2 linked regions of the Xenopus tropicalis genome follow. The protein of the gene in region 2 interacts with the protein of the main gene of each other region in a biochemical or structural test. Links are inferred from orthologs where the notes say so. Each region holds a gene or a part of one and is shown on either strand. Other genes may lie near its edges.

What was found.
Region 1: of the proteins of arih2 (region 2) and ckb, one has a biochemical effect on the other in vitro, tested with the Homo sapiens proteins (2 studies listed by BioGRID). The link is inferred for Xenopus tropicalis from reciprocal best matches to the Homo sapiens genes ARIH2 and CKB.

Annotation. Positions count from the first base shown.
Region 1 is NC_030684.2:98,353,124-98,369,264, forward strand, and holds ckb (creatine kinase B-type), read right to left. Parts: upstream 12,926-16,141; 5' UTR 12,818-12,925; intron 11,099-12,817; exon of another isoform or gene 11,087-11,098; coding exon of another isoform or gene 10,894-11,086; intron 10,646-10,893; 5' UTR 10,636-10,645; coding exon 10,458-10,635; intron 9,796-10,457; coding exon 9,641-9,795; intron 9,489-9,640; coding exon 9,356-9,488; intron 8,826-9,355; coding exon 8,654-8,825; intron 8,092-8,653; coding exon 7,968-8,091; intron 6,694-7,967; coding exon 6,504-6,693; intron 6,011-6,503; coding exon 5,832-6,010; 3' UTR 5,640-5,831; downstream 1-5,639. UniProt on the Homo sapiens protein: Reversibly catalyzes the transfer of phosphate between ATP and various phosphogens (e.g. creatine phosphate).
Region 2 is NC_030680.2:136,617,283-136,634,976, forward strand, and holds the start of arih2 (E3 ubiquitin-protein ligase ARIH2), read right to left. Parts: upstream 10,695-17,694; 5' UTR 10,651-10,694; intron 7,236-10,650; exon of another isoform or gene 7,159-7,235; intron 6,458-7,158; 5' UTR 6,335-6,457; coding exon 6,083-6,334; intron 1-6,082. Other genes in the region: rab GDP dissociation inhibitor beta, read right to left, coding at 13,157-13,300, 14,527-14,581, 16,889-17,033.

The sequences.
Region 1 (16,141 bases), on a different chromosome or scaffold from region 2:
TAGAAATAAACTGAATAGTGTGAACAGATCAAAGTGTAATGATGAAACTGGCCACAAGAGGTCTCAGATGCAAAAGAGATTCAGAGCGATCAATTGTGCAATGCAGAATTTAAGATTTATGAGGCTTCAGAGGTTAACATCAACATAGGAAAAAACCTTAGAGATTGAGCCGTGATAGCATAATAACTGAACTAGAGATTGTGTATGCAGTGCTAGGATTAGAACTAGACATTATAGGCAGGATATATATGTTGTGTCTGCAGCCTTCAGGGTGTACTGGCTACAGCTACCAGTATCCTTAGTTGGCTATTACAGTCATTTTTGTTCATACGTTCCTCTCTATATCATCAGTTTAGTTCAAACAACAGCAGCTATGTGCTACCTGCAGACAGCTCGGATAGCAGAAGGTTCCTATTCCAAGGACGCTGTGCTCACTACATTCCCCTTTTTGCAACTTTAGTGCCACAGTCTGTGTGATAGCTATGGGATATGTTGGTATTTTATAAATACATGTTAAAGGGGAACTCAAGCTTCCAAACAAAAATTTGTTAAAGAATCCCACACAACACAGAATCCTTAATATACCTAGCACTGTAATCTGTTCCTTCAAAAAGTATACATTTTTTTTTTTCATATGCATCATTTAAAATCCTGGCAGGGATGTAGGGACTAAAACAATGATGTTACAAATTGTAATAATTTCTCCACACCAATCATCACAGCTCTACACAACCAAAGACAGATTTCAGTTCCCTATCAGGTCAGCCTGGCTGCTGATTGGTTCCTATCCTACAGAGCAGTGTGCTGAGTGCCGCGGGCCCCCTGCACAGCCTGGGAAAGGAGGCAGAGTGGAACAGATGGGTGGGACTAGGGGACTAGTACAGTTTTTGTGGAGTTTTTCAGTATATCCCTGCACCAAACCTTTTCCTGTAATATATAGCCATATAGCCACACAGCCAGGCCTGGAATTTAAAAAAAAAAAAAGCCCCTTTTTTTTTCTTTGTTGTAATTACTTTTATACACTTTAATTTTTTGGTGTTACTGTTCCTTTAAGTACTCAAAGGTCATAACGGCCCCCAGCATCCTATTTACTAGTGACTGCCTATGGCATCTTACAGCAGCCCCTCTGTATATAGTGTAATAGTATCTTACCTACAAGTGGCATTAGGTTAAATCATGTCATTCTCTATAAACAATACTGTGTACTGTCAAGGAGACAAGAAGAGTTTTTGAGCCACTCATAGTCTGGAAAGCATCCCAGTTTGTGAGGTAACCATTGCAGTTATTTTCCCTAGAAGCAGCTTATTCATGTAAAACAGAGCAGTAATAGAGGCATAGGGCAGGGACCCTCTATCCTTGCCACAGACTGTCAGCAAATTGCAAAAGGGCTCAGAGATGTACCCTGATTAATTTGTATTAATATTTTTGGGGGTTTAGATCCCCTTTAATGTAAATGTCCTCTGCCACAAGGAAAGTCAGCCATTCTGTACTGAGCGCACTTAATTAGTTAAGTCCTCTTGGCACATGAAACATTATTTATCATGTAAATCAGCTGATGTAGTTATACATTAACAGAGAGATGAAAGAGGCATATTCAGAGGGTGGCTAACCTTGGGGACAGGCTAGAGAATAGGTTCTTTAGTAAGGAAACGGCTTTAATAAACTAGCATATTGTTCCCTTCAGGCACATGCCTCTCTAGAAATGTCCATTCAAGGAATCATTTTATAATTAAATATGTAGGTTTTTTTACCCTTTGAAAACTTTCCACAGTATTGCAGATCGCCAGACCATAATAACCGAAGCAGCATGACAGATGTCTTTTTAGATGACAGGTTCCTGGGTATGTGTCAAAGTGAAGTCAGACAATAGAACAAGGCAAGTTCAGCCAATGCAACAAGTTAGGGCAGGAATTTATTTCAGTTAGGTCTATCTAATGGTCATGGGGAATGTTTTCCAGGGGAGGAACCTGCCAGTAAGAGCAAGTGCAATGTGTCCATATTCTGTGTATGACTATCTCTACACACACATTAACCTGATCTGACTATAAATTAAAAGTATATATATATATATATATATACAGTGGTGTGAAAAACTATTTGCCCCCTTCCTGATTTCTTATTCTTTTGCATGTTTGTCACACTTAAATGTTTCTGCTCATCAAAAACCGTTAACTATTAGTCAAAGATAACATAATTGAACACAAAATGCAGTTTTTAAATGAAGGTTTACGTTATTAAGGGAGAAAAAAAACTCCAAATCTACATGGCCCTGTGTGAAAAAGTTATTGCCCCCCTTGTTAAAAAATAACTTAACTGTGGTTTATCAATTTCAATTTTCAATTTCAATATCAATTTCTGTAGTCACCCCCAGGCCTGATTACTGCCACACCTGTTTCAATCAAGAAATCACTTAAATAGGAGCTACCTGACACAGAGAAGTAGACCAAAAGCACCTCAAAAGCTAGACATCATGCCAAGATCCAAAGAAATTCAGGAACAAATGAGAACAAAAGTAATTGAGATCTATCAGTCTGGTAAAGGTTATAAAGCCATTTCTAAAGCTTTGGGACTCCAGCGAACCACAGTGAGAGCCATTATCCACAAATGGCAAAAACATGGAACAGTGGTGAACCTTCCCAGGACTGGCCGGCCAACCAAAATTACCCCAAGAGCGCAGAGACAACTCATCCGAGAGGCCCCAAAAGACCCCAGGACAACATCTAAAGAACTGCAGGCCTCACTTGTCTCAATTAAGGTCAGTGTTCACGACTCCACCATAAGAAAGAGACTGGGCAAAAACGGCCTGCATGGCAGATTTCCAAGGCGCAAACCACTTTTAAGCAAAAAGAACATTATGGCTCGTCTCAATTTTGCTAAAAAACATCTCAATGATTGCCAAGACTTTTGAGAAAATACCTTGTGGACCGACGAGACAAAAGTTGAACTTTTTGGAAGGTGCGTGTCCCGTTACATCTGGCGTAAAAGTAACACAGCATTTCAGAAAAAGAACATCATACCAACAGTAAAATATGGTGGTGGTAGTGTGATGGTCTGGGGTTGTTTTGCTGCTTCAGGACCTGGAAGGCTTGCTGTGATAGATGGAACCATGAATTCTACTGTCTACCAAAAAATCCTGAAGGAGAATGTCCGGCCATCTGTTCGTCAACTCAAGCTGAAGCGATCTTGGGTGCTGCAGCAGGACAATGACCCAAAACACACCAGCAAATCCACCTCTGAATGGCTGAAGAAAAACAAAATGAAGACTTTGGAGTGGCCTAGTCAAAGTCCTGACCTGAATCCTATTGAGATGTTGTGGCATGACCTTAAAAAGGCGGTTCATGCTAGAAAACCCTCAAATAAAGCTTAATTACAACAATTCTGCAAAGATGAGTGGGCCAAAATTCCTCCAGAGCGCTGTAAAAGACTCGTTGCAAGTTATCGCAAACGCTTGATTGCAGTTATTGCTGCTAAGGGTGGCCCAACCAGTTATTAGGTTCAGGGGGCAATTACTTTTTCACACAGGGCCATGTAGGTTTGGATTTTTTTTCTCCCTAAATAATAAAAACCCTCATTTAAAAACTGCATTTTGTGTTTACTTGTGTTATCTTTGACTAATAGTTAAATGTGTTTGATGATCAGAAACATTTTGTGTGACAAACATGCAAAAGAATAAGAAATCAGGAAGGGGGCAAATAGTTTTTCACACCACTGTATATATATATATATCTGTACAACTTCTTTGCTGCTTTGCTCTGTGATTGTCTTTGTTAAACTGACCATAACTTTATTTATAATCATTAAGAACAATTCCAGCAGTTTCTCATTTTCTATCCTGTTCCCCACAAAGTTTTTAATAAATGGACAGTATGAAAGATATAACCCAGGGTACAGTAGTTGTCTCCATTCATTTTGGCCTATGACCTACTTCACTGTTGTCATGTAAAATATGATTCACAAGCCTATGTAATACCACATAGATGGCAACACAGGCTAGTCGTGCAGTCTATAAAAAACAGTATATTTCTATTGAGAGCTCGGAGCTGATAAAATTACATAGGATTTAATAGAGTAAATTAAGGTTTATGCAGACTAATATGTGCTTTTATAAGAAGGGCACTTTGGTAAAGGGCCCTGAGAAATATCATTCTCCTTAGAAAGTATGGAAATGTACTGTTCCAGTGTTATTTCTGTAATGCCTAGTGAAGGTAAAGACCTTGTATTTACAAAGGTCCTAAACACACACACACACATTGGTTGTAGAAAGTTAGAAACACAGTATCCTACTTTATACCTACCTGGATTGCATACTATTCGTTGCAACCTCTCTAGCACAGAGATTTTGTGATTCAATTTGAGATCATGGTATAGAGCCTAGAAAAGAAGCATCTAACAGTGCCACAAGATCTGGCATTCTTTGGTGCCAGGTTTCTTACCAAATCAATCGTCACTTAGCTAAGTTTTGAGTACTTTATGGCTATTTCCTAAAGAAGCATCTTAGTATACTTGAAATACATTGCCGAGGCACACATGCAATCCTCTATGTCAGTGCTGTCGAATGTCTGTAGTATCAAGGGCTGGAATTTTTTTGGCCTACTTGGTGGAGGGCCAATAATGGGAGCTAGTTTTGACCACTCCCCTTTTTAAATCACATCCACTTAAAACCACACCCATCTTATCACAAGAGCTTTTAAGACCATATGTTTGTGAAGATTCTCATTCATCCAGGTCATTTTAAGACCATACCAACATTAATCGTGATAGTGCAGCAAAAACCCAGCAGCGTATAGCACAGGCAGAGTATGGCGCACACAGGCAGGATAGGACAGGCAATACATACAGGGACACAATGCTGGCACGGCTCCTACAGTCGGTCTGATGTGTGAACAGGTGGAAAATGTGGGCACTTACAGTCTGAGCCAGAGTTGTGAACAATGCAGAGGGGCCAGTTAATCTCAGTACACACGTGTGTGCGCGCCTGTGGTGTAAAGAGGTTTTCACAGGGCTGGAGTGTGAGGGTTTAATGTAATATCCAGAACACAGCTTCCTCCTTTCACATCTCTCTCAGATTTGAAGGGGGCTGTGTAAAAGGTTTTCACAGGGCTGGAGTGTGAATATTTAGAGTAATAGCCAGAACACAGCTTCCTCCTTTCACATCTCTCTCAGACACACACACACACACACAGGTATATCTATCATGCTGTGTAAGAAGTGGAGTAAAACATTACCGGTGATGTTGCTCATAGCAGCCAATTACATGCTTTGCTTTTCCAACTGTTGAAATCTAATTGCTGATTTGTTGTCCTGGGCAACATCACCGTTAATGCTTCACTCCACTTTTTGCACAGCATAATAAATATACCCCTTAGACTGATATAACCTCACACATGTCAACTGTATTTGGGTACCATGCATTGAAATGTGAGTGGATTTCTTGCTTGTAGATTCCCACCTCTAACCTTTATTTTAGTTGGTTATTGTACCATAATGTGGCAGAATAAAATGTACACCATTTTCTTTATTTTGGCGTTTGGATGTTTGTTTAAAAGGCCATCTATTTGCTGACCCAATTTTATAATGCAGAAGAGAATTTACACATTACAGTTTCAGCCATATCCCCATTTAAGATGGAAAGCCAGACACCTTTGACAGGTCAACGCAAGACCATTGTTTATTTTCTATCTTTAGTAACATTGCAGCCATCAAAAGAAAGATAATTCTAAGAAACAGATGGAAGACATTTCTACAGTGTTACTAAGCAGGTTGGGTCCCCAGGGTCTTGGAGTGTAGCTATTTCATCCAATAAATTAGAAAGCATGGCCAATAAAGTGCAGTTATTTCTGTGCTGGAATGAGGTCATCGATGGACTCTCCTTTTTCCAGGCATTTTTCCATTTCAACAAGGAGTTTTACACCATCAACCACCATTTGGACCAGTTCAACCTCAGAGAAACCCAGACGATCAGCATTGGAGATATCAAACACCCCACCAACGGCTGCAGTGTCTACACCACCTGAGAGAGAAAAAAAAATCAAAGTTGAAAACTTTGTGCCAATGAAAGATGTAAAAAAACAGCAGCTGGTAGCAGGACAGAAAGTGTAACAAGAGTGCTGGTTTTTAAAAGTCATTAATACAGGCTACAATTTTTGCATATCATATGCATTCTCTAGGAATCTGTTACTATCAAAGAGTTCTGTACAAACCAATAGCTTCGTAAAATGTATTACTGGCAAATATTCCTAACAGAAAGTGTCATAAGGCATCCCTCCCTCAGCCAATTTTGTGCTATGTTTTTGCCCCTGGATAGCCAAGATGTGCTATCCAGGAGTAGCTTTAGCCTGATGGCAGGCAACATTAAGGTGCATTTGCTTCTGTTTCTATAGCTAGCAGCCTACATAAGGATGCTGGGAGTTTGGGTGCCTTGTCCTGAAGCACTGAAAATCTGCATGTGTAAAAAAGCTTTTATCAAGTCCAGCCAAACCCAAGTCTACTTGCACACAAGTTACCTGTTCCTCTCTTCTGTAGTCTAAGTCTCTTCAGGATTTCACCAAACTTCTCATTCTTGCTTAAGTTTGGCAACTTAATGTGAACACCAGCCCTCAGACCAGTACCGAGGTTGGATGGGCAGGTAAGAACATAACCAAGATGCTGGTTCCACATGAATGCAGATCCTTTGTTCTTGAAGATAGCTTCAATCTGAGGGAGGAGAATAAGTTAGATTTTAGGAGGAGACCAAAAAACCCTAAGAATTTAGAATTTATTACGTGTAATTGGGTCAAAAGGTAGAAGAATCATAGTAAAAAATGAATACTAAAACAGTGTTATTTGCTAAAGGATGGATTGGTAAGCACTTAAGACACCAGATTTTCTAACACGCACATTGTTATGTGAATGGTCTGCATCGCTAATGAAGCGAATGAATGGGCACATTATTCCAGATCGGATATGCAAATGCTTGCAGAAGAGACAGTGATATGAACATTTTCTGGGTCTATGTTTATACTGAAGTCACACTATATCACCAGATTTATCCGGTTAGCTATTCTAACAATGCTTATCCTTTCTTTAAACACTTACTATAGAGTTCAAAACTATCTCTGGAAGCAAACCCCCAAACATCTCACTCCAGTAACATTGCTGGTTTTCATGGATAACCACACAATGCACAAGCTATAGCTTTGTGTAGTGACAAGCAACAGTTTGGGTGATCATGTGTGCTTCAGCATCAGACACTAACAGATGAATCTGTTTATAATATGCTGCTTATCTGATTGTGTAATACTATAAAGTTTGGCAGAGGATGAAAGCAGACTTAAGGTGGCCATACTCTGGCCAACGACTTGTCCCTCCAGACTGAAATCATTAAACTGCTGAATTGATCTGGCAGGTTTCAAGATCCAATCAGTCCTCATCCTAAAGGCATCCATAGGCTCAACAAATGGATTAAAATAGCACAGAGTTAATCTCCTACAAGAATGCCAACATTGCAGCAAGTCAATTCCCTGCCTGCAGAAGACAGCTGTAGTAGGTATGTATGACAGGATAGCCCTTACACTATTCCCACAGAGGGTTGGGAGGACCAACCTCATATTAAACATGTAGTTCACCTACCACCCATTTCAGGTCATTTTTAAAACAGTGTCCTAGAAATTGCTATTAGTTTAAGATTAAGTTAAAAAAAACGTTCTGCTGGTAGCAAGCACTATGCTGCCTGCACCGGAAGAAAGCTCCTGATGTGGGTGGCCATGTTTGATCACAGGAATTTATTCATCTGCATGTTTTGTTGCAGCATGGTCATCTGCACTTGCTACCAGGTTTTTTTTGTTGCAGAAAATTAGTATTATTTTCCCCAACCGAAACACAGGCTCAATTAGCCCGCACCTCCTACACATGATAAATGCCCTTAATGGTTACACATACAGCTAATTGCACAGGCTGGGGATGGGGGATAAAGCAGAACTGCCTCTTACCTTTGTAAGGCCAGTGCAAAACCTCTGGAACACATCCTTCATGTTGCCACCCTTTTGCATTGAGATCACACGAAGATGGTCTTCCTCATTGATCCAGACAAGGAAGGTCTTGTTGTCGTTGTGCCTTGATTTAAGCAAATGTAGGTTTTATCTTTGAGGTGCTAGTATCATGGAAGTTATTCTATGAGAGCGAGTGGTAAAAATCAGATGGGTAAAGGCTGCCATAGCATTACATAGATGCTGACAGATGGGATTCATTTTCAGTGTACATATTACTTACTTCCTGGCTTGCTTTAGCGACTGCAAAAAATGCAATCTCTGCATTAAACAGCTGACACAAGTTATAGCTCAATGTGGACTTGAGGTGGTGTGTCATGGAGGTACTAATACTACTCTGCATATCAAACTTGGGATTCCAGTGAGCTATAGATTTGTTCTGCTACTCCCGGAACACTCCATAAAAATCATGAGAAGGTATTTCATTACTAGTCCTTAAGATTCAGATGTTCCTAATTGAGGAGCCTGACAGCAATACTAAATTACTGTGAAACACTAGTGCAGAGCAAGCAACGCATGCAAGCTATGGCTTTAAATCAGCATAAACAAAGCAAAACCGCCTGTTTTAGAGAGGCACTTACAATCTCAGGCATCTGTATATAAACCACAGTACAAATTAGAGGACATACCAGATTCCTCTGGCATCAGGCCAGTCACGGGCCATTCCAGAGGCCAAGAGGAGTGGAGAAACTGGCTTATCAAACAGGAAGTGGTCATCGATAAGCTGCTGCTGCTCCTGATCAGTCATGGTATTAAGAGCGTAGTATTTTCCTTTTAGGTCCCCATCCAAGCTAGCAAGTGCTGGAAACACAATAACATAAAATGGTGATTTTCCCCACAGATGAAAGGTAAAGGTTATAAATTACAAGTTTAAACAAAAGCACAATTTCTCTGCCTTCTAATAGCCTCAATACTGACTTTCATAATCCATATGATCTCAGATTAATAAGTGGTTGTACGCAAGCCAGAAATGGCATTGTGCTCCTTCTATCTTTGACCCATTTCCCATATAAGTGCAGCATATACCATTAGCCCTCAGGGACATAACCATATACAGACTGATTCATAATGAGCGAATGACTTCCTTAAAAGGTTCCAACAGTTAAGAATCTGCATGCATCATTAATGTGGTCAAACATGAACTGAGCCGGAGGGCTGGAGGTTGCACTTCCACATCTGTAGGGGTTACAGTAGAGCAACTAAAGGGCCACCTCCTGACCAATATTCCACCAAAAGGGGGTAATAGATGATCAGCATCCAATGACACTGCTGAAGAGACACAGACCAAAGTGCTCTGCAAAGTGATTACTACAAAAGTTGCATTTAGGTACCTTCAATTGACATCTTTTCAATTGCACGCCTTTCTCCACGGCTGCAGTGAGGTGGGAGGCTGAATCCACGAATACTCCTTCCAGTTCTGACCCGAGAGCTGAGTACATAGTTTGGGTCCAGATCATCACCTCCCTGGTTAAGAAACCATTTGGTAAGTGAGCTTTAGCATGCCAATAGCTTATTTAAAACCTCTGAATAAAGTATCCACTAAAACCCAAACATGCAACTCCTCCCTGCCTCTCCCCCACTCCCTCCCCAAATGAATATCACCCAACATATCATACCTTTAGGTTTTCTGAATTTATGTCAGTCTTGTGCTGATCTGTTGGCTTGTAGCCACCATGTCTGTCCTCAATGATAGGGTCAAAGAGCTCCTTAAAGACTTCATAAGATTCTTCATCCCCAGCGACACATCCCACTGTCATAATAAAGGGATGGCCTACACACAGTACAAGGACAGTCAGAACCAGGAGGTGCATGCATGGTTATTAGGCAAGTACTTACATTTCTCAAGTTTTTCCCCTCAGTGAGAATCTTTTAACAGTCACATGAAAAATTGCATGCAAGTTAGCAGGGCCCTCTTTATGTCCTGTTATTTGTATATAGCTTATGTATTGATGTATAACCCATTGTATAGCTCTGCAGCAGGTTATGCTTTATAACTATATAATACCTAAAAGGACATCTGCTTTTCACTACACTGGAAAGTAGACTTTTGCAGTTTGCTTGCAAAGAGTTGGCAATAGAGTCGGCAAGGAAAGTCTTCCCCCAGCTACTGCAGAGTCCCATGTATATGTAAGTGAACATCCCATCATGCCCTCACAACACTGCTCTGTAGGAGAGCAGCTTCCCTACTAAAGCAAATCACTTTATAAATGCACATAAGCATGCAGGTTACAAGATATTTGGAGCATGTAAGGGACCCTTTACTAGAGACATGCAGTGGAACACATTAATTTCAGTTGAGCATGTTAAATGCAAATCAACAAATCCACCACAACAGTTAGCGTTACTTTCTAAGCTTCAAACACTAGACCTGCAAACTTAGAGTCTAGGAAAATGCATTCTCTCAGTTTTGGTGCATTTTTTAAAATGTTTTACCAGGATTGTCAACCCCAGTCTGAATGACATCATCCAGGGTGAATCCACTGGAAGTCATCCTGCTCCTCAGTTTCTTGTACATATCCACAGTAAGCACCTTAGCCATGTGGTTGTTGTGTTTGCTCAGATCAGGGTATTCTTCCTCAAGGGACAACCTCTTAATAATTGGTTGCGCCATACTGATATTGCTAGAGTGAAGATAAATACTACACATATTAGAATCTGCTCCCCCTTGTCAAAAGAAGTGCTGTGGCAGTGAGAGACCATTAATCATAAAAAATTGTTACAATACAATAAAGAGCCTTCTATATTCTGCCTATCAGACCCATTGCCTTTGAAAAGACCAGGATAACCCCCTTCGGTGCAACAGCCAGAGCACTTCCAGTAATGAGGGAGAACAGATGGCAAAGTGGATGAAGAGCTTCCATCTTTTTACCTGGGTTGTCAACCCCAGTTTGAATGACATCATCCACGGTAAATCCACTAGGTGTCTGTTTATCCCTCAGTTTCGCGTAGAGATCCTTTGTCAGCACCTTGGCCATATGATTGTTGTGGGCAGACAAGTCTGGGAACTCCTCATCCACAGAGTTCTTCAGCTTCAAGGTGTTGTGAGAGTTACCGAAAGGCATGATTGCACTAGACTGGAAAAGGACGGGGTGGAAGAAACAGGTAAAGGCCTTTGCCCTAAACAGCAGTATATGACCTTCAGATCTACGACCTTAAGAAATCAGGCATTTGGTTTAAAAAAAAAAAAAAAAAAAATTTTTAATGCACAAAGCCCTGGAGCCTTCAGTCATATATATACACCCAACATGAGGCCTCTTTGCATTCTGTGAATTGTAACATAAAAGCTAAAGTATTTTTGGTATTTGCTGTAGAGCAAACAAGAGGGAAACTAGAAAAAAAACCTGTTTCTAGTATGTATTTGGTGCAGGGTTTGCACGCATAATCACACAGGTTCCGGGACTGGGCTACCATTGCAGCTAGCCACCATATCTTCAGTCTTGACCTCTAGGTTGTGCTCTACAAGAACATGCCACATAACAGCACAGTTTATATAAAATTCCCTTCTCAGCTACTAGCATCAGTAATAACTGTGGCATCAAAATGGTAATTTAAAACTACAGAACGGTGATGCCAAAACCAAGCATTTGAACAATGCAGCCTGACCAAACTGGCCATGAGCCCACTGGCTGCACCATTTGCTTCAGGGCAGCCACTAGGGGGCCCACTTGCACTTGGCCTTGAAGTCAATTAACCCTCTTCAAGTCTCCTTCAACTGACAAACCATGCAGGATCTATTACTATGTTCAATTCTAGATTCTATTTATGTTATTAAACCCTAATAAACTATGCAAATACATGTTATCCAATTTACATAAACAACAGCCTTCCTGAATTTGGAAATACAACTCCTACCCCCACCCCTTAAAAATGTAAACGAGGAGTTTGTATGTCTAATGTGCTGTATTTAGCAGTTCCCAAGATTTGATTCTTCCATTTGCACATATAACACACATTTCCTTTGGCTGATGAGTAATGAGCCCAGTGGGCCCCACATGCTTGCACACAGACCCAACAGCCTGCACCCACACAGACTGGGCAAGTCATGTAGGCAATATATTCTACAGGAGGCAATTTAAAAAGAATCTAGAAAAAGCAGAAAAAAGTGGGCTTCATGGTTTAAGCTAGTGGTGTGAGGAGCCCAAAGGTTGAATGAAAGCTCATTATCCACTGGAGAAAAAAAATGTGATAGTTCAGAGATGTCCAACAGCTCTTGCTGAAATACAACTCCCATCATCCTCAGCCAGCCAAAGAATTTGTAGTTACTAGATGAGGGGATATGCCCGAATTATACAATATAGCTTACCATTATATTGATATATATGCCCTTTGTGCTGCCCCCCGGGGCCAATGTGCTGCTGGGGTCCCAGTTCTAGCGGGCTAGTGTCCATGGATTAAGGGAATGACTATAGAATGAAGCTGCCATAAGGCAGAGCCAGTACATAGGATTGTGCCCAGCGAACACCGCAACGCCCTGCGGGCAACGTGGGACGTGACACTTCCCAAGGACACGCTCCTTGCGCCCCGCAATCTCTGCGCCACACTGACGCACAACTCACCATCTGCTCACATTATAACCCTCCCTCCCCCAGCCCGGTACCGACCCAGAACCACAGCGTTCCAAATGAGAAACGTCGATGCCATTGTGCAGATCCCATATCTGAGAATTGCACTGCACTGAGCGCTTTGTGGTTGGATAGTCCCGCAAGGATTGCCATACAAACTATTCTGTTTATCTGTAACACAGTTTCCCTCTAACCCCCATTGCCCCAAACACCACAACTGCAGCGGCTTACCTTAGTCTTGCTTAATTGGAAACCGCAAACTGGAGACCCTAACCTCTCCTCAGGACCAACACTTGCCCCAGACCTGAAGGGATGTGTGAGAGAAAAGATTCCCCTCGCCCTTATATAGTGAGCCCAGCCTGCCTCGCCATTGGCTGATATTTATATTCCATTCATTGGATTGGAGCATTGGCAAAGGGAAGAACCAGCGCAACCTCTGATCAATCAATAGGCATCCATTTTCCTAAAGCCTTGGCTACACTGAGTGGAGTACTGCGGATGGACACGCTGCCATAGGCTCCGTCTGTTCTCTGCAAATTAACGCGCTGCTACAGCCATTCCGTCAGTACAGGGGCCCCATAAGGGGCAAATCTCTGGCAGTGCAAAGCATTATAGCTGGATTCAGCAGCCATTCATGAATTGTATAGCCCATAACATATGTTATATGCAGTCAACTGTAATAGAAAAAGGGCCGAGATGACACGTTAGCTGCTGCAATTTATTTGCCTTTTCTCTTTCTAACAGAGAATTTAAATCGCTGAAATATTTAGAAGCGTTCGGTGTCTGCCCTGGTCTGTTTGTGCAATAAAATACTCCTCACAGGGCTGGGCTTCCCTTTCATTTAAAGGGGACTGTCATGCAAAACTAATAACGTTATTTGTTAAAGAAATGATATTTAAAGGACATGTTAACCCAAAGAACACTCAATTCTAAGCAACTTTGCAGTATACATTTATTGCAAATTTGTAATTGTTTTTGTTATTTGTATATATTATTGCTATTGAACGCAGTGTTAGTCTGTCCTTTTCTATTCCCTGCCCTTCTGACTTTTATAGCAATGTAATGCAAGACAAGAGGGCTGACAGACCTGCTTTGCTGGAGGAGACTGGCTTCTGCAACTTTGTTTAAAAAGTCATAACCAAGAGTTAAGCAAATGCTGCTTTCTACAGCAATTACATTTGCAAATAACTTTTAAAGCACTATAATTTTTTAAATAAATTCATATTGAAAAATTATGTTTTATTTTATTAGGAAAAAAATATTATTGTCTGGGTTGACCTGACCTTAAAGCTGTATCTTGCTGTTTATATTCTCTACTCTAGCAGCTCTGACTCCTGTAGCAATGTAACAGCTGCACTGTTTCAAGTGTCAGAACAAGAGAACAGAAAGGGATTGACAAATACTCCTTTCAATTGCATCTACTTTACAAGTAACTGTACAATAATTAAAAATGTTTAATGAATGTACATAGTACATATAGGTATAAGTCATCAAGTTCAACCTTTTTCATATAAATATAGATACTAGACAGGGGCAATTCAGCATCTAGTGCCAGCCTGAGATTGATTGATGCTGTCCCCCTTACTCCCCTGCACTTATCTTTTTTAGCACTAGAGTGGCTTGATGGGGCCACATTGCTAGCGTAAAGAGTGCATGTCTAGAAAATCCAGCTAGAAGGGCTGCACTGATTGCAATTAAATGCAACATGCATTTATTAGACATGTCACTGAAATTTAAAGGAGACATTTTGGATAAATGGTAAAAACCCTAATTTTGTAGGCAATTATGAATAATATATGGTGCTGGTGTTACTTTCAGCTAAAATTGAATACAGTCTGTAAAAATGGCACTTTATTGTAGCTCCCTATAGATCCTATCAGTTCTCGGTCCCTGTTTCAAATGAAGGGTGGGCGTGTCCTAACGGTCCCTGCCAGAAGCACAGTAGGAGGGGGAGAGCCAATCACAGCCTTTCACTCACACAAGCAAATACAGGCTTCAGTTCCCTATCAGGTCATAGCCTAGCTCAGGGCCGGATTTGTAATCCCGCCGCCCCAAGGCCCCCCCAGCGCATGCGCGAACGTGCGATTGGCAGCCCCCCCCCCAACGTGCATGCGTGGGGTGTAAACATTCGCATACGGAGCATTGGTCCCCACTGCTGTGATGGGTGAAAAAGCTTAAGATTGTGGTGCGGCATGCCGCCCCCAAATTAGTGCCGCCCAAGGCCCGGGCCTTTGTGGCCTCTCTGCAAATCCGGGCCTGGCCTAGCTGCTGATTGGTTCCTATCCTACAGTGCCATGTACTGAGAGCCGCCGGCTCCCCTGCACATCCAGAGAATTCAGCCTGCAGGTAGTGGAACAGATGGGTGGGACTAGTGGTGTTTTGGTGTATTTTCTGAATAAGTCAGTCCAAAACAAAACATTTTTTAAGCACAATCCTTCTATATTTAGAGGAGTATAATTCACTGCTACATTCTTAATGTTATCCTTTAAAGTGATCTGGTCGCCCTATTGTACCTTGCAGGGCGCTGACACCTGAAGCAAGTTTCTGAACTCACCTCATGGCAGCAGCGCCCCTGCTAATAAGTAAGTGAAACTTTTTCCTCAACAACCTGCTTACTATTGTTAGCTGAAAACCTATCCTCCCTTATTGCCTATATTTTTTCTCAAATGTATTTGTAAATAGTAATTGTGTGAGTCCCTCCATTTTCAGTAATGTCTTTGCTACAAATAGAACAGTTTCCATGAAACTTCATTGTATGGCCATTTGGTAAACAATCTTTGTTTATTGATAGATAGACCAACTGAACTGATGCCATTCAGTCACCCAGTTCAGTTAACATAGAATGTTTGAGACTGGTGACCTGTGCCACTTCCAGGGTCAGACTGGGGGGTGCAGGGCCCACCGGGGCTCCCGCCCCAGGGGCCCTGCAGATGCCCCAGCCAGCCGCATCCCCTAACCCCCCCAGGGGCCCCCCTAACCCCCCGCAGGGTCCCCCATCCAACGTCCTCCATGAGTCCGCATAAATGTAATGCGTATGAGGAGGAACAGTCGGGCAGGGGGAGCGCCGGCAAGGGTCGGGTCTGGGCCGCCGGAGCCAACTGGGGTTTTTCCCGGAGTCCCGGCGTCCCAGTCCGACCCTGGCCGCTTCCTCTAAGCCAACAAGTTCTTTTATGCACTGATACCTTGCGGTTGATTTATGAACATGGCTGCTAAATTACATCAGTGCAGTTACCCATAGCAACCAGTCAGATCTAACGTGTAGTTGCCTGTTCAAAGCTAATTGCTAAATTGGTTTTATTGGCAAACAATGTCAGATTGGCCCACCAGGATACCAGGAAAGCTCCCGGTGGGCCCAGGTGTAAGTGGGCTCCTAACTATTTGGCCTGTTTCTTGGTCATTTCCTATTTCTGAATGGGAAGAAAGAGGAGAAATAGATGGATGGATGCTAGCATGTAAATAAAAGAGATTAGGAGAATAAAGTGTTTGAGTGAGGAAAGATGGAAAAATAGTTTGGAGAGTGGGCCCATGGTCCAAGGTTTTCTTGTGGGCCCCTGG
Region 2 (17,694 bases):
CCATTTGGTTGAACTGAAATCTGCAGTGTGCAAAAGCAAAATTTCAGCAGCAACTGCGTGTCAAAATCACTTGAACTGAGCTTGATTTTAGATGTAAATGGGGTACAAGTTGAGTCTAGAAGGGGGATAGCTAACTGGCAGAGCTCTCATTGAAAACTGTGATCATTTGCATCTGCGATCCACTGGGTCAAGGTTGGTGTGACTTAAGCTGGCCATACACGTTCAGATTTAAGTCTTCTTTCCATGAACGTTCGGATATCAGTCGTAGGTTTAAATGCAAACTATGTGTTAAATATAAACTACGTTTTGTACGATTTTATCGGTGCATGTATGGCCATCTTAATGACACAACCCTGGGGCAATGGTTAGGTTCAGAGTAGCAGCAGGGGCAGTTGTTCACCATTCATCATGAACTCCCAGCTTGGTGATTAGAGACATTAGGGTGCCTAACAAACTAACTGGTATGCCCCAGAGAATTTCACTTTTATGGTGTTACTGGCTCAGTTTATAGTTTTACACTTAGATAGGGGACACACTGCAGCAGATGCCCACAGACACATGGACAGGCACAGAAGTACAGGTATGGGATCCATTATCCGGAAACCCGCTATCTAGAAAGTTCCGAATTACAGGAAAGCTATCCCCCATTTACTACATTATAAGCAAATAATTCTAATTTTTAAAAATGATTTTCTTTTTCTCTGTAATAATAAAACAGTACCTGTACTTGATCGCAACTAAGACATAATTACCCCTTATTGGGGGCAGAACAGCCCTATTGGGTTTATTTAATGGTTAAATGATTCCCTTTTCTCTGTAATAATAAAACAGTACCTGTACTTGATCCCAACTAAGATATAATTACCCCTTATTGGGGGCAGAACAGCCCTATTGGGTTTATTTAATGGTTAAATGATTCCCTTTTCTCTGTAATAATAAAACAGTACCTGTACTTGATCCCAACTAAGATATAATTACCCCTTATTGGGGGCAGAACAGCCCTATTGGGTTTATTTCATGGTTAAATGATTCCCTTTTCTCTGTAATAATAAAACAGTACCTGTACTTGATCCCAACTAAGATATAATTGATCCTTATTGGAAGCAAAACAAGGCTATTGGGTTTATTTAATGTTTAAATAATCTTTTAGTGGACTTAAGGTATGGAGATCCAAATAACGGAAAGATCCCTTATCCGAAAAACCCCACCTGTACAAGAAATGTTTTACTTTATTACAATGACAGCCTCACCTAGGCTCCCACTATTATTCTTATTTTATTTTATTTCTACAGTGCAACACATTTATTTAGCACATCATTCCCAATATTGTATCTCATGTTGGCTGCTGCCTGTAATACTTATCACGTCCTACTGGCCAGCTACTGTGTTCTAATACCATTACAGGAAGCCAGGGCATACGGCCTGGAAGGCCAGATGGACATGGACACAGGGCTGATTCTTGGACTGCAGAGAATTAGGAGATCCGCTGGCTTCAGCTCGCTCCTGTCTCAGTTCTCGTTGGCCTGGGTGCAGAAACACGGAGCGGATTTCAGTGTGGAAATGCAAAAGTAGAAATTTTCACTCCAAAATATACTTCATGCCTCTGCACTGGCCTGGGTGCAGACACAGGAGTGGGTGAAGGCCAGAGAATCAGCTGGGTCTTGGCTTGCTGAGAATCAGTTCTCTGTGGCACTAGCCTAATATCCCTGGGAAGATAACTAGCATAAGACGACCGTAATAGGACATTTTGCAGGTACAACTTCCCCTTTAAGCAATAACAGGGTTTAGATACAGATTCATAATAAAAATTATATAAAAAAAAAAAATAGTAAATGACACCTGATATAGAAAACATTTGTAAAGGGATTGTAAGTCAAGGCTGCAGCTTCAGCCGACAGCTACCCTCCTCCACACAGGCCCTTATAATAATGCTGAGCTTGCACTCTATCACGGATCTCTTTCCAGCCCACACACTCGTGGGGCCAGATATAGTACTAATTACTTGCACAAAATAGATGGCAAAGAGCAGCGTCAACATCCTCATATCCGCACCAGCTGATCAATAAAGGGATTATTATGGGACCAATGCAATGGAAAAACGTGTATTGGTTCTTGGAAGAGAAAAAAAATGGTATAGGGTTCAGAAACTTTCTAAGCACCTTTCCAGTATACATTTATTATTATATAAGTTTTCAATGGCTTTATATTTTTTTGTAAATTGAATTTTTACTGAATTAAGTATCTGTCTACCCCTTGGTATTCTCTGCACTGCTGGCTCTAACTACAGAAACATTGTAACAGCAACGTTGCATGCAGCTGTGAAAACAGAAACGAGGCTGGACTTATGCTACAATATTTCAAGAGTCAGAAACAACAGTGCAGAAAGGGAGAGACAAATACTGCTTCCAGTTGCAATAAAATCTTGGAACTACAGTGGTGTGAAAAACTATTTGCCCCCTTCCTGATTTCTTATTCTTTTGCATGTTTGTCACACTTAAATGTTTCTGCTCATCAAAAACCGTTAACTATTAGTCAAAGATAACATAATTGAACACAAAATGCAGCTTTTAAATGAAGGTTTACGTTATTAAGGGAGAAAAAAAACTCCAAATCTACATGGCCCTGTGTGAAAAAGTTATTGCCCCCCTTGTTAAAAAATAACTTAACTGTGGTTTATCAATTTCAATTTTCAATTTCAATATCAATTTCTGTAGTCACCCCCAGGCCTGATTACTGCCACACCTGTTTAAATTAAGAAATCACTTAAATAGGAGCTACCTGACACAGAGAAGTAGACCAAAAGCACCTCAAAAGCTAGACATCATGCCAAGATCCAAAGAAATTCAGGAACAAATGAGAACAAAAGTAATTGAGATCTATCAGTCTGGTAAAGGTTATAAAGCCATTTCTAAAGCTTTGGGACTCCAGCGAACCACAGTGAGAGCCATTATCCACAAATGGCAAAAACATGGAACAGTGGTGAACCTTCCCAGGAGTGGCCGGCCGAACAAAATTACCCCAAGAGCGCAGAGACAACTCATCCGAGAGGCCACAAAAGACCCCAGGACAACATCTGAAGAACTGCAGGCCTCACTTGCCTCAATTAAGGTCAGTGTTCACGACTCCACCATAAGAAAGAGACTGGGCAAAAACGGCCTGCATGGCAGATTTCCAAGGCGCAAACCACTTTTAAGCAAAAAGAACATTATGGCTCGTCTCAATTTTGCTAAAAAACATCTCAATGATTGCCAAGACTTTTGGGAAAATACCTTGTAGACCGACGAGACAAAAGTTGAACTTTTTGGAAGGTGCGTGTCCCGTTACATCTGGCGTAGAAGTAACACAGCATTTCAGAAAAAGAACATCATACCAACAGTAAAATATGGTGGTGGTAGTGTGATGGTCTGGGGTTGTTTTGCTGCTTCAGGACCAGGAAGGCTTGCTGTGATAGATGGAACCATGAATTCTACTGTCTACCAAAAAATCCTGAAGGAGAATGTCCGGCCATCTGTTCGTCAACTCAAGCTGAAGCGATCTTGGGTGCTGCAGCAGGACAATGACCCAAAACACACCAGCAAATCCACCTCTGAATGGCTGAAGAAAAACAAAATGAAGACTTTGGAGTGGCCTAGTCAAAGTCCTGACCTGAATCCTATTGAGATGTTGTGGCATGACCTTAAAAAGGCGGTTCATGCTAGAAAACCCTCAAATAAAGCTGAATTACAACAATTCTGCAAAGATGAGTGGGCCAAAATTCCTCCAGAGCGCTGTAAAAGACTCGTTGCAAGTTATCGCAAACGCTTGATTGCAGTTATTGCTGCTAAGGGTGGCCCAACCAGTTATTAGGTTCAGGGGGCAATTACTTTTTCACACAGGGCCATGTAGGTTTGGATTTTTTTTCTCCCTAAATAATAAAAACCCTCATTTAAAAACTGCATTTTGTGTTTACTTGTGTTATCTTTGACTAACAGTTAAATGTGTTTGATGATCAGAAACATTTTGTGTGACAAACATGCAAAAGAATAAGAAATCAGGAAGGGGGCAAATAGTTTTTCACACCACTGTACGTCTTCCTTTCAAGGAAAAAATTTAACCAAAGTTTATTTTTCTCCAATAGGATTATTCACAGCTATGTAGAACTATTATGTAAAAAAAAGTGATATAGGCTGACCAAGAGATTAGCCACAGGCTGCACAGCACAAACTTGCTGTAATGTCAGAAAAAACAAAAATTAGGCTTTTGGGTGCTTCTCTGCCAGCTGCAATGCACTAATGTGACAAATGGCTTGTGTGCCATCAGCCTTAACCACCCAAAGGATTATCATGTGACAGAATGGACGAGAAGGGAAGAAGGATGGGTATGGGCAAAGCGCCTGTTAACTATTACAGACTGATGTGTCCCAGTTTTGGCTATGCTTGGTGACTACGGAAGGGGGCTTTGTAGACATGCAGCAGAGCTGTGATTGTTGGATGCCTCAGTGAGGGCTGGGGAGGCAGATGCTGGTATCTCATTTTGCATAGTACAATATATTTGTTGCTGTATTCTGGTGCGTGTGTGTGTCTTTTGCTATTAGGGTTGTGCCTTTCTTGCTGTGGGATGTTAAAAAGGGATGCTCACCTTAAAATTAATAGGATGCAGGGCTAGATATTGAAAAACAAAAAACATTACATTGTGGTTTTGTGAATAATTACTTTTTTCTTTCCCTCAATTTTATAAGGTTACCTGCTTGCTAGGGTTCTACTTATCTGTTGCCTGGTTGCTAAGATAAGTAGAACCCTAGCAAGCAGGTAACGATGTCACTGACTAGCACCACAGTCATCATCAAGTCCAACAGCTTGCCGTGTGTGATGTGCCATGTCCTGCCTGGCAGTTATAAATTCTACTCATACCAAAGTAAAGTATCATATCCATTAACCAGCACGGCAGCCAAATGCACACAGCATTCATACAGTACATGCCAGTCACAGCGCAATGAGGCTATAAGCTAAAAGAATAATCACTTATCTCAACTGATAACAGTCCCAGACTCAGGAGAACACTCAGACAGCTCAGTTTCAAGAGCTATAAAGCCCAATAAAGTAAAAATGACTGGATAAGTATGAGTTAGAATCTGAATGACTAAGCAAAAGTGAGGCATCCTTACTGTACATGCGTCAGGTCTAAAGAGGCAAAGGGAATGCCTGGGAAGCTGGGGTAAGCCAGTGATGGTTTGTCTTACAGAAAACTACCCCAGGCCTGTGTAAAATTTAAAGGCGAATACTGGCTGGGGTTAGATGTAAGCGATTAGAGTCACAACGTTTGCTCAACAAATTGGTTTTCCTTGTCATTGAATGACAAAACTAAGAAATACAGGTAACCATTTTAACTTGCACTGGAACTAAACATGGCAACCCCAGTGTGGTTCATTGCCCTTTAAAGAGAAAGGATCCCTATTTCTACGGAAGGCTCCCATTTACCATTTACATTTGCTGCCTGTGTATGCCATGCTCTGCCCGCCCTACACAGTCTGTGTGCCATACTCAGCATGACTTATGCTGCCTTTGTGTGCCAAACTATGCCTGCACTATGCTGCCTGTGTGTGCCATAATCTGCCTGCCCTATGCTACCTGTGTGGACAGCACTGACTTAGGGTATAGGTGAAACTTTGCCTTTAATGCGGCTATACACACAACAATATAATCAGGTTATGAGGCTTTTTTAGCCTCTCTGCCTAACAAGCAAAGCAAATACTGGTCCCCCAAAAGGTCACAGTAACCCCACTGGATTTTAAATTAATCTCTCCAGCCGGAAAATCAATTCTGCTGCTGGAATAGCATTGAATTGCTTGTTCCCCCATTAGCCTGGATGTGTTGAAGAAAGGTGTGGCCTCTGTCATTTCCCTGGTCTGCAGATGCCCTGTCCATGTTTCAATGAAACCAAGCAATTCAGTGCTATTCAAACATCCATAATATCTGACTAATTGGCCTATAGTCTAGTTGACTGGATAACCCCGGCATGACTCTTTTACCCCAAAAAGGCATAATAAGCATGCACTGTTTTCTAAATGTATAATGAGGCAGTAATATGTCTGTGCACAGCTCACCTTTAACATGGAGGACAGATTTGCCATTTGTTCATTCAGTGCACTCTCTGATTCTCTGTAGGTGAGACAGGTAAACTGATACTCCTCTGGATCAAATGAGTCAGCCCCCTGTTGCTCGACATCGTTCGCAACCCCAACGTAATAATCCTCAATGTCTCCTGGATCATCATCTTCTTCCTCCTCCTCATCCTCACAGTTAGGGTCATAGTCCTCATTGCTGTCTGATCCTTGACTGTTCATGTCTACAGACATTTTACCATGGGGGGTTTAAAGCAGCCCAAAGGAATGGGGGATGGAAAGCAGCCAAATATGTGCTTTCTCCTTTACTGCAGGACACTTAGCTTTTGTCTTGTAGCCATCTGTGGCTTCAGCATCCTGGAACAAAATGGAAAGGAAAATTTAGGCAAACAAATGGTATTGTAAATTGTATTGAAGAATATTTCATAGGTTTTACTGAAATTAGCAGAGCAATATACCCTTGTTCCCCATGAGTTCACTATATAGGGCTTGTGTTGGACATGCATTCATACACCTTAGTTATTTCTTGCACTAAAAAGTACAGAAAAAAAACATTTCCTTGGTTTTTTCACAGCACACCTGGGAAATTTGTAATAAATTAAATTATTTTTATCTGGTAAAACCCTTATAAATGAACTCCTCCTTATCTGTCCACCAGAGAAAAAGGCAGCATCCATGGGAAATTAAAACAGCGATTCACTGGGAGTCATCCCATGCCTGTGTGGGTTTTCACCAGTTACTCCAGTTTCCTCCCATATTACAAAAGCATGCAGACAGGTTAATTTGGTAAAACTGGCCCTAGTGCGCATGAATGTGACAAGCACATTAGATTGTAAGCTCCAGTTGGACAGGGGCTGAAGAATATGTTGACGAATATAGTGTCCGACACTGTATAAAGAATAAAAACAATAAATATGTTTTTCAGAATTAAAAAACACTTGAATTCAAATTGAAAAATAAAAAGTAGCCAACAGATTTAAAAAGAATCAATCAATTGCAATCACTGGGGAGTGGCATCCCCCCCCCCCCCCCCCCCAGTGATAAAACCTTCCCTTTACCTTTAATCATACATTATACATCCAATTGGCCCAACGAATCAGTCCAACCCAATATTCTTTCATTGAGAAGGGTCACCCTGGAGGACAAGATATGCACATTATGCCCATGCACATGATATATAATTAGAATTAACATGTATTTATAATGCCCCAACATAGGGCACACAAAGAAAATAAAGCGAGTTAAATCTTAGAGCTACATCTTTGCCATAATGAATCATTTATAGCTTTCTTTGTACAAATACAAGAGGCTTTGATCCAAACAAGGCTGTGCGGCCTGAAAGAACAACACAAATCCTCTGTGCGCAATAAGCTGTGGCAGCTGGAAAAATATTTATCTCTGACTCCCTTCTGGCCCACTCACTGCTATCCTGTCCTGTCCAGGTCTGCTATTTTGGAAGAACAAGCATAGCACACAGCATTCTGGGAGCTGTAGTTCTCTTGTGGCTGCAAAATTTTGAGAACCAGAAGAACAAGCCAGTGGGAATATCTGTAGCAAGCTTATATAGTTCCATGCAGTTCTTTAATGTTAAGTGCATGGTTTTCTCCTTATGCACCCATTGCACCAAAATCTGTGTAACAAGATTTATGTGCCCTTTAATTACTTTACTACAACTCCCAGGAGAGATATTTTACTCAACAAGAGCAGAAAAGCAGCAGGTCCTTACAGTGAACATTTCTACACAGAAAGTGTATCAAATAGTATCAAAGAAGGGATCATTTCCAAAGGGAACTTCTGCATCCGATGGTTCTTGTTGGCTCTCTACAAGTGCCCAATGGCAAAGCACCATCACAAATATATTGGACTTCTACTCTTGGGCTCGACAACCATCTCACATACCAATAGGGGGGTTGGCATAACATATCCCTGCAAAAAACTCCCTCCCAGCTACAGATGCAACCCTGGTCCAGCTTCTTCAACATCACTCCAATTGGTCTAAATAAAATTATTATTAGCATTCCTATTCTATCTACTTCCGACCTGTGACTAAAAAATGCTGTCTGTTTGTCAGGGCCACTGACCCCAGCAACAACACCAAAAAAATGACTTTGAGTTTAGACAAAGTATTATTTTATTTTATTTTTCCTTGCTTACCACACCTTTTCTATTCATATTGCACTAAGGTTATAAAGTCCTGGCAAAAAGACAGCAGTTTTATAGTCCAAGCCCAGGTGCTACAAAACAAGATGAATAAATAATTCAAAACAACCAAATGCAGGCTGATTGCAAGGTTTAAGAATACCAGTGTCAGTACCCTGCTAAAATGTCACTTTAAGGTAAACTGCTCCTTCAGCCAGTGTGAAAAGAGTGACTATGTTGCAGGGGGTGGGATAGACAGAATACACGATTCCCCAAAGTAACACAACACCATTCTTTCAGAGTAACAAGAAACACTAGTATATCTCTAACAAACAATACATGGCACACTCTGTCCCAGGCTGACCCCTTGCATCCCTATCCCTTAAACTCCACTGTTTGTGCTAATGCTAGCACTCTTTCCTCACAGACCTGTCTACTCTAACCCACCATTGCTGGAAAATACTGTATACCTGTGTAGATGGGGACCAACACAAACTTTAATTTTTTGATTTGTCCCCCACAGGCCACCTCTTTCTCCCTGCCCTGCCACCCTCTGATTTTTTCTTAGCTCACAAAGTCTCTTATTTACTTATCCTGACTATATTACCATGTTGATAAAGGGGCCCAAACACACACCTATATTCATGGCTGTGTTAGTTTAACCGTACCATACCAAATGAAAACAACGTTTTGGGGGGTACACAACTCCCTGCGCCAGGTGACATTGTGACTGACGTGGCCCTACGTCAGGGAGTCGCACCACCACAATGTAAAGCTATTTTCATACACAGGGAGAGCACCCAATTCCAAAATGTTGTTGCAGCTTATATTTCCATATTACCAGGTGGTTTAAGCACTGATTGTCTATAGGTCCCACAATCCCATGCCATTTCCAGCCCTCACATACTGCATCCATGATGGTTCTCCCTTGTACCTGCTGCAGCCACATCTCAAGCAAGTGTTCCCATCTCACCTCAGTTACCATTGGCAGGTTCCGTATAAATTTCTGCCCTGATACCCCGGTATTACTTACCATCATCAGCCATCATCAGCCAATCGGCATGCTATCACTAACTGTCAGCCCTGTGTGTCAGCAACATACTCCGCAGTGTCACACTACATCTTTTGCTGCCCATATTGACCTTACCAACCCAGGTACCATAGTAACTGCTTCCTTCTTACCCAAAACAGGGTGCAGTGAGGCAGAAACCATCCCACTTTCTATGCCATCCTGGTAACATGTCCCATACACATGGCATCCTGGTAACATGTCCCATACACATGGCATCCTGGTAACATGTCCCACACACATGGCATCCTGGTAACATGTCCCACACACATGGCATCCTGGTAACATGTCCCACACACATGGCATCCTGGTAACATGTCCCACACACATGGCATCCTGGTAACATGTCCCACACACATGGCATCCTGGTAACATGTCCCACACACATGGCATCCGGGTAACATGTCCCACACACATGGCATCCGGGTAACATGTCCCACACACATGGCATCCGGGTAACATGTCCCACACACATGGCATCCTGGTAACATGTCCCACACACATGGCATCCGGGTAACATGTCCAACACACATGGCATCCTGGTAACATGTCCCACACACATGGCATCCTGGTAACATGTCCAACACACATGGCATCCTGGTAACATGTCCCACACACATGGCATCCTGGTAACATGTCCCACACACATGGCATCCTGGTAACATGTCCCACACACATAGCATCCTGGTAACATGTCCCACACACATGGCATCCTGGTAACATGTCCCACACACATGGCATCCTGGTAACATGTCCCATACACATGGCATCCTGGTAACATGCCCCATACACATGGCATCCTGGTAACATGCCCCATACACATGGCATCCTGGTAACATGTCCCATACACATGGCATCCTGGTAACATGCCCCATACACATGCCACTCTGTGTAGCCCCTAGGAAACTTCACTAACTGCCATTTGCTTTGCAATTCCAAGCCCTCTGGCCCCCGCTAACAGTGAATTCAGTAATCCCCGGTGCCCTGTCACTCCAGTACAAATGTATAGACAGGCTCCTGTCAGCTCAGTAACACATCACTGATGGCCATTTGCCCTACTGCAGCTTCACGTACAGACTCCGCCATCCCAGCAGCACGGAGGGCCGCCATCAAGGCGGGGGGGAGGGACAGTGGTCCCGGGCGGGGTGGGCTTTTGGGGTTTAAGGGGGGGCCCGGCTGTGCTGCACTTATTGAATTACCGGGCCCCTTGCTGTCAGTGAGCTGCATACCCGGAGAGGGCGCTTGCTAGGGTGCCTGCATGTTGTCTCCCCTACACCGCTTTCATACTGCCCCCCAGTCCCGCATTCCCTCACACCGCCCGCAGTCCCGCATCGCTACTTACACCTCCCGCAAAACTGTAAGTGCAGCCTCCTGCCTCACACAGACTCCTAACGCCTCAAGTCTCATCACGCGAGACTGGCGTCACCACTACACGTACGCGCTGTGACGCATCACGCAGCCGCCTTGTGGGAGGGGCGAGTTGGCGTAACTCTGCGTTACATTGTCGAAAGCTGCTGGCGAGTCGCAATAGCGCTACTGCCTCATGATAATTTGTCTTTCATCGACTCGCACCTCCTATTGCTGTCAGAATAAAAAACAACTTTTCTTCCGTGTTGGTTGCCCACCATACCCTCTGCCAGTTAGCTCTCAGTTTTTTAGAACTAATTTCTATTTTCTCAGCTCACACCTGCACCTCTGAGTTGCAATATGGCTTATACTTATTGAGGAGTGAAGCTGCCAGTTCCTTCAGATCCTCAGTTTCTTTGCATAAATGTAGAGCTCAGGTCTAGTAGGCAGTCACTCTTTAACCACACAAACCACAGGAAATTAATAGATCAAGATTTCTGATTAGGCCAGATCTGAACTAAGTCACAACTCCAGATCACTGACCACATGCACCACTATCTAAACCACATGAAAAGAATTGAAAGAGTTGCAATGACCAGGAATGCTACCTCATCTTGCCCTGTAATAAAAAAAACAGGACAATATGTATAGCCACATTTTTTAAAGGGCAAGTAAGACGATGCATAGAATTATTTATTTTTTGCAGTGCGCCAGGAAACTTTGCACCCCGTAGAACTCATACACAGAGCACTTGTACCTTGTTTTTGTACATTGCTCCAACATTGATAAGTGAGCCTCAGGTCTTCAAACTAGGGGCTGATTAAAGCTGCCATCTCAAACCCCTCCAGACCAAATTGGCAGCTTATTGGCTCATGTATGGCTCCCGCCAATCAGCCTGCCTGACCTATCGAGTAGGCTTGAAAATCCAGTTAGACAAGGACCTTCTAGGTATAGGCATGTCCTCTGACACTGGATCTCATGCCTAATCTCCCACTTGATCTTATAGGCTACCCACCACAAGGTTGGCCAAATTGGGTAAATATCAGCTCATTTGATGACTGCCAAATAAGTGAATTTATCTCAGTATGACCAGCTAAAGATCTGGAGAAATGAGTAGCGATATTGTTAACATTTCGAGGTGCATTTTGAGCTGATGGTGCTGGATAAACCTTTTCGTATTGTAAATAACACTGAGCTGTGGTTTAGCAACAGGTGCAGTAAAAGGGACATTTGGAAAAGGCGTGTCTATATTTTAACAGAATATAAAAACCCAGGATCACTCTAAACTTTATTTAAGCAGAAAGCGAAGTGCCTTTTGAATAGCAAGCACTGTACATTGGGTGCACTAGCTCTGTGTGTACACTCTTTTAAGACAAGGGGTTCTAGAATCCAAGTCCTGAAGCCATGGATGCCATTAGACACAGAGACAAGGGGTTCTAGAATCCAACTCCTGAAGCCATGGATGCCATTAGACACAGAGACAAGGGGTTCTAGAATCCAACTTCTGAAGCCATGGATGCCGTTAGACACAGAGACAAGGCGTTCTAGAGTCCAAGTCCTGAAACCATGGATTCCATTAGACACAGACACAGTTAGAAGTTGCTCAATTACTGAATACACGGCACTGTCTTCAGTATGTCTTCATTTTATAGCCTACTTGTAAGTGACTCTTGGATTGCCTCCTACTTATATTCTACCTCACAATTATCTTCAGGTTAAGGTTCTTGGTTTGTCCCGACCTGTCTGATCCATTGCTTTCAGACCAGTTTTACATGTGTCCAATTAGCATGGCGTTACTTGCCACATCTTCCATTTTTCTTGTCACAAGATTTTCCAGAGATGGAGATGGCTAAATCATATTAACGGTGGGAGAAAAATATTTTTATTGGGAAAATCAATATTAGACTATAGCATGGTTCCAGGATGACTGTAAAAAGTTTGTAAAAAATATTCGTTTAGGAGGCAAATACGAGGAACAAAGAGTCAACTCGTCTTAGAAGCACTGGTTTAGATGTTGCAGTAGACTCTAGAGCAGGGGTCCCCAACCTTTTTTTTAACTGCTCTAGAGAAGCCAATGGTTCCCAAACTTTGGTGCTGCCTCTCTAAATGGGTCCAGAACAGTGGCTAACAAGGCTAAGCCTGAAGTCTTAGGGTGAGATTTGGTAGATACTTCAGTTTCAAGGTTAATTAGTGTAAGATTTAGGATACAGGCTTGTTTGCTGTCCTAGATATTCGTGGAATTATGGCAGAAAGGCTGATACAGCACTGTATATATATAACTTTACTATGAGCAAAGGGTGGTCCTGACCAAATGTTGGACATCAAAGGGATGCCTTAATCAAAAGTCCAAAATAGTCCAACATTAAACATAACTGAAACAATTAAGTTGCACAAGAGGAAATAGGCAGACGCCAGATACATAACATGACAGAATAAAGGCAATGTTAAAGAACATAAGCAAAGTCAAATTATTTTATATAAAAAAAAAAGAAGTAATAAAATCATTCTTGGAAATCTGAGTTGTCAGAACTCCACATGTCACTGAAGTCCAAGGTAGCACCTGTCATTCTTTTAAACATGTCCTTAATGTCATCACACGTTGTCTCAAAGTGCGTGGTGGCATCATATGATCTGGAGATAAAAATCTGCAGGAAAACAGCAGCCATAGTCAGTTACTGAGGGTTATCCCGATACCCTGGCTAGTTAGACTCTAATCCCCATAGTGAGTTGACCTTTCTTGCATCGCTTTGTTATTCAACCTCTGGTAAACTCGGTATAGCTAGAGGGTCGCTGACCCTGGTGCAAAATTTAATGCAGGTCCTACTTCTTATTGCCAACACCTCCACTTTCCCCAAGACTACTAGCTTCTCAATCTCCAGATACTGGTGAAAATCATCCAGCTATAAGAGAGATGCTAACAAGGTACACAGTTGTAACTTTAATCATAACGTTACTCAGCCATGGGGAGGGCTTTAGCAGGAAGTTTGCCCCACTGTGGCCTGTGACCAACACATTCTCTAATGCTGAGAGTTGTAAGTTATGTAACATTCAGACCACAAGTCAAGGCTGAATTTAAATGTTGTGCAGGGCCCTCTCACCCCTGCTCGAACCCTCCCCCCACACTGCTTGTACCCTCATCCCCCCACTGCTTCCCTCACCCATCCACCCAGCACTGCTGCTGCTGCCACCCACTCCAACATGATCACCTCCATTGGGAACTGGGTCCACAGGAGATTCAAATGGCTGTCAGAATTATATTATTATACATTATTATAATACACAAGTTGTAGTGAATCATGTGACAAAAATTACATCACTAAGTATTGTTTAAATATTTAATATAGTACCCCATATTGTAAAATATAAGGATATTCTAAGTCACAGAGGAGTTCCATGATGATATCAAAGCACAAGGCCAAAAGCTGAGTGTTTTTATAAGGGTTATAGAACTTCAAGGTCACTTCTGATTTTCTCATATTTACAACAGGGTACTTTATTATGATACACAAGTTTAAGTGAGTCATGTGATAGAAATTACATCACTAAGCATAGATTATAACTGATGACATCACTAAATACCATTTATATGGATATCATTTACATTTATATTCATGGCTCTGGTGTATTATAAGAATATATATTGAATAATGTTATAAATATAAGACATTTAAACTGTACACCTCTGGGAAAAAAAGCCATTTGGGGTTATTTACTTGTAATTTACTTGTTATTTATTTGTACATAATGCCTATTATCCCACACCCCTTACCTAAATCGCTGACACTGGTCAGTTTTGCTTTAAAACATTAGGGCTCTGAACCAACCTGAGCAACCAACCACTTTAGCTAAATGTCCAGCTCTGTGATCTCACCTGATTTTTTGTCCCGTCGTGCTTTGGAATAAATTGATCATTTATGGACACAAATCTGTAAAATATGAGTAAACTATTAGCAAATGCAATTATTAAGGCCTACAGACACAAAGCCAATCACATTGCTGGGATTTAAACATATAGTTGGTATTAACTACAACTCCCATGATCCTTAGTTTTCCAGTGCTTGGAGATCATTCAGCATGGAAAATGTGAATAGCATGCAAATGTGGAAGCTCTACTTTGGGCATGCTTATAAATTCATTTGAACTACTGAGACTTTTTAGTCCCAAAACATTAACTAGAGCATCTTTGGGCTAAAAAAAAAGCACTAGCAGGGTTCATATTCATAATGCCATGCTTCTGTGCAGCCCCAGACTGGGATTTCAAAATAGTCCCTGGCATTTCAAGTACACAGAGGCCCAAAGAGCCCCCCACCAGCCCAATAAATAGGTTACCAGTCTGGGCCTGGGTCCAGTGCTTGCTGAAGTTTGTACCTGCATGGAATTCCATCCGTAAATGATCCCTAAACGTCATTTCTGTAAAGTGGAGCACAGTGCCTTTGCGCCAATTCAAATTTGAAGTTGAATTGATTGAATTCGCCAAGTCAACTTTCAAAAAATGAATAGAATTGCCTCGAATTTGCCTGTCAAGCAGTGAAGTTACCATCAGGTACAAGGTACTGCCTTATCATTACTGCAAGACAAACATCTTGTATAATACAACATTCCATGGTTTGTGATAAAGCAGAAATATCATAATCAGCTGACGAGGGCATAAAAGAGCATATTAAGGGGGTGGTTTACCTTTAACTTAATTTTTAGTATGATGTAGAGCAGCGATCCCCAACCTTTTTAACTTATTAGCCACATACAGATATAAAAAGTGTTGGTGAGCCACGCGAGCATCAAAAAGTTCTTTGGGGGTGCCAAATAAGGGCTGTGATTGGCTATTTGGTAGCGCCATGTGGGCTGGCCTGCAGGAGGCTCTGCTTGGAGTAAAACTGTGTTTCTGTGCTTCCAAACCAACCCCTTGGATTTACAAGGGGCCTGCTTTAAATTTCTCAATAACTTTATCCCTGATCTGTCTGGTGTGTTCTTTGGACTTCATGGTGTTGTTGCTCCCAATATTCCCTTAGACAACCTCTGAGGCCGTCACAGAGCAGCTGTATTTGTACTGACATTAGATTACACACAGGTGCACTCTATTTAGTCATTAGCACTCATCAGGCAATGTCTATGGGCAACTGACTGCACTCAAACCAAAAGGGGCTGAATAATTACGCACACCCCACTTTGCAGTTATTTATTTGTAAAAAATGTTTGGAATCATCCATGATTTTCGTTCCACTTCTCACGTGTACACCACTTTGTATTGGTCTTTCACGTGGAATTCCAATAAAATTGATTCATGTTTGTGGCTGTAATGTGACAAAATGTGGAAAAGTTCAAGGGGGCCGAATACTTTTGCAAGCCACTCTATAGTAACATGCACTCCTTCCCCTGCATGCAATACTGTGGCGTTTAGCTCACAGAAATGTCTCGCCTGCCTTTAACAGCTCATTCCAGTACCAGGAATAGAGAGTCCCTCTGACGCCACTTCCTGCATTCCAGGGAAATTCTGCAGAACACGCTGCCCCCATTAGTGTTGCAAAACAAAACCGCCCTCGGAGAAGCATGAAATACATAGTTTCGCCAACGCAAGACACATTTAGCCATAAGAGGACTAAGCCCTTGTGTGGCCCAGGCTTAAAGTCACAGTACATTGTGTCCAAAAGATTGTGTAAATTGATATATAAGATACAATTACATTTTAAAACCCACCCTTCAGTCTTGCCTGTGTAGTTTTTTTTTATATATTTGCAGACCATAAAGGACCATTTTCATATTTGCAGAACATAAAGGACCATTTCCTTAATCTCTGGTTTTAAATCCAAGGCCAGAGCAAGGGGTAGACAGCAATTGCTCTGGCCTAGGGTGTAGTTATATATGGAGAAGGGGGGTGCAATTCTACAAAATATGTTTATTGTGGGGTGCACAGCAGCACCCCAATGCGAGTGGTTCATTATTAGACCAGCTCCTTGTCTCCCATAACCCTTACTGTGAGTGAGACAAGCAGCGGGCATACATATGAGCACATAATTATAGTTTTTTGTTTAGTCGTAGCCCAACCTTCCTGCACTACTAACAACTCTCATCTCTATTGCCCGCCCTACAAGTAGTTGTGGCCTTGTTTAGAAAACCAGGGACACATAAGCGTTGGGCTGGGAGTGGGGTGACTTCCCTCAGATTAATATCAGTATTCCAGGGGCAGTATCATTTTACCAGCAAATAAATGGCCATGGAGCACTGGCTCTGCTTACTTTTGATCAACAGGCTCCAGTAGCTCCAGGGCCGGCTGAATCTCTTTCTCTGGATCTTCCGTTTCCACCGTTGTGCTAATTATAGCCACGTATTTCCCATCTGATGCCACGCAGTGTGAGCAGGAGACCATGCAGACATAGATATCTGAGCAGAGGGAAAAGACATGACAAACTGAGTTTGCAGCCACAGCCACTGCTAAAAATACCCCTTGGCACCTGGTGGGGTAAAGGCTCAAACTTGCACTTGCTAGGGTGGGATGAGGGAGCTAAGCAGGGTACATATATATGGTAAAAGTTCAGATATATGGTTGCGCTGCTCTTTATTTTTCTAGCATGCTTTATGTACCACCAATATATAATTCTAAGAACCTTTCCGATGTACATGAATTTGATACATTTTGATGATTTTAAAGTGCACCTATCACCCTCCAATAATAGAGCTCTGGCGGGGCTACTTGCCCCCAAGCAAAGTGGAAGGAAATCATTTGATTGTGATAGATACCCTTTAACTGGTTCTGACAGAAGTAGATCCATCTTCAGCCTAGTTTTTGCTAAATTGGTTTAAGAGAACGAGTTTACGAACAGAAACGGGAATATAAACAGCCAGGCACAAAGGTGGCCTGCGGGTGGTGGCTAGAGGGTTTACGTGCCTTCATTTGGGTCAGCACCAAGAGGAGCTGATGAAATCTGGGCTTTTGTCTTTCCTCAACTACAGCCTTCATCCATTAATCGGCAAATTAAAGAAATGACCCATAATATTGTAAGGAATCGGCAGCTACAGGCGCCTACTGTCTGACATGCACATA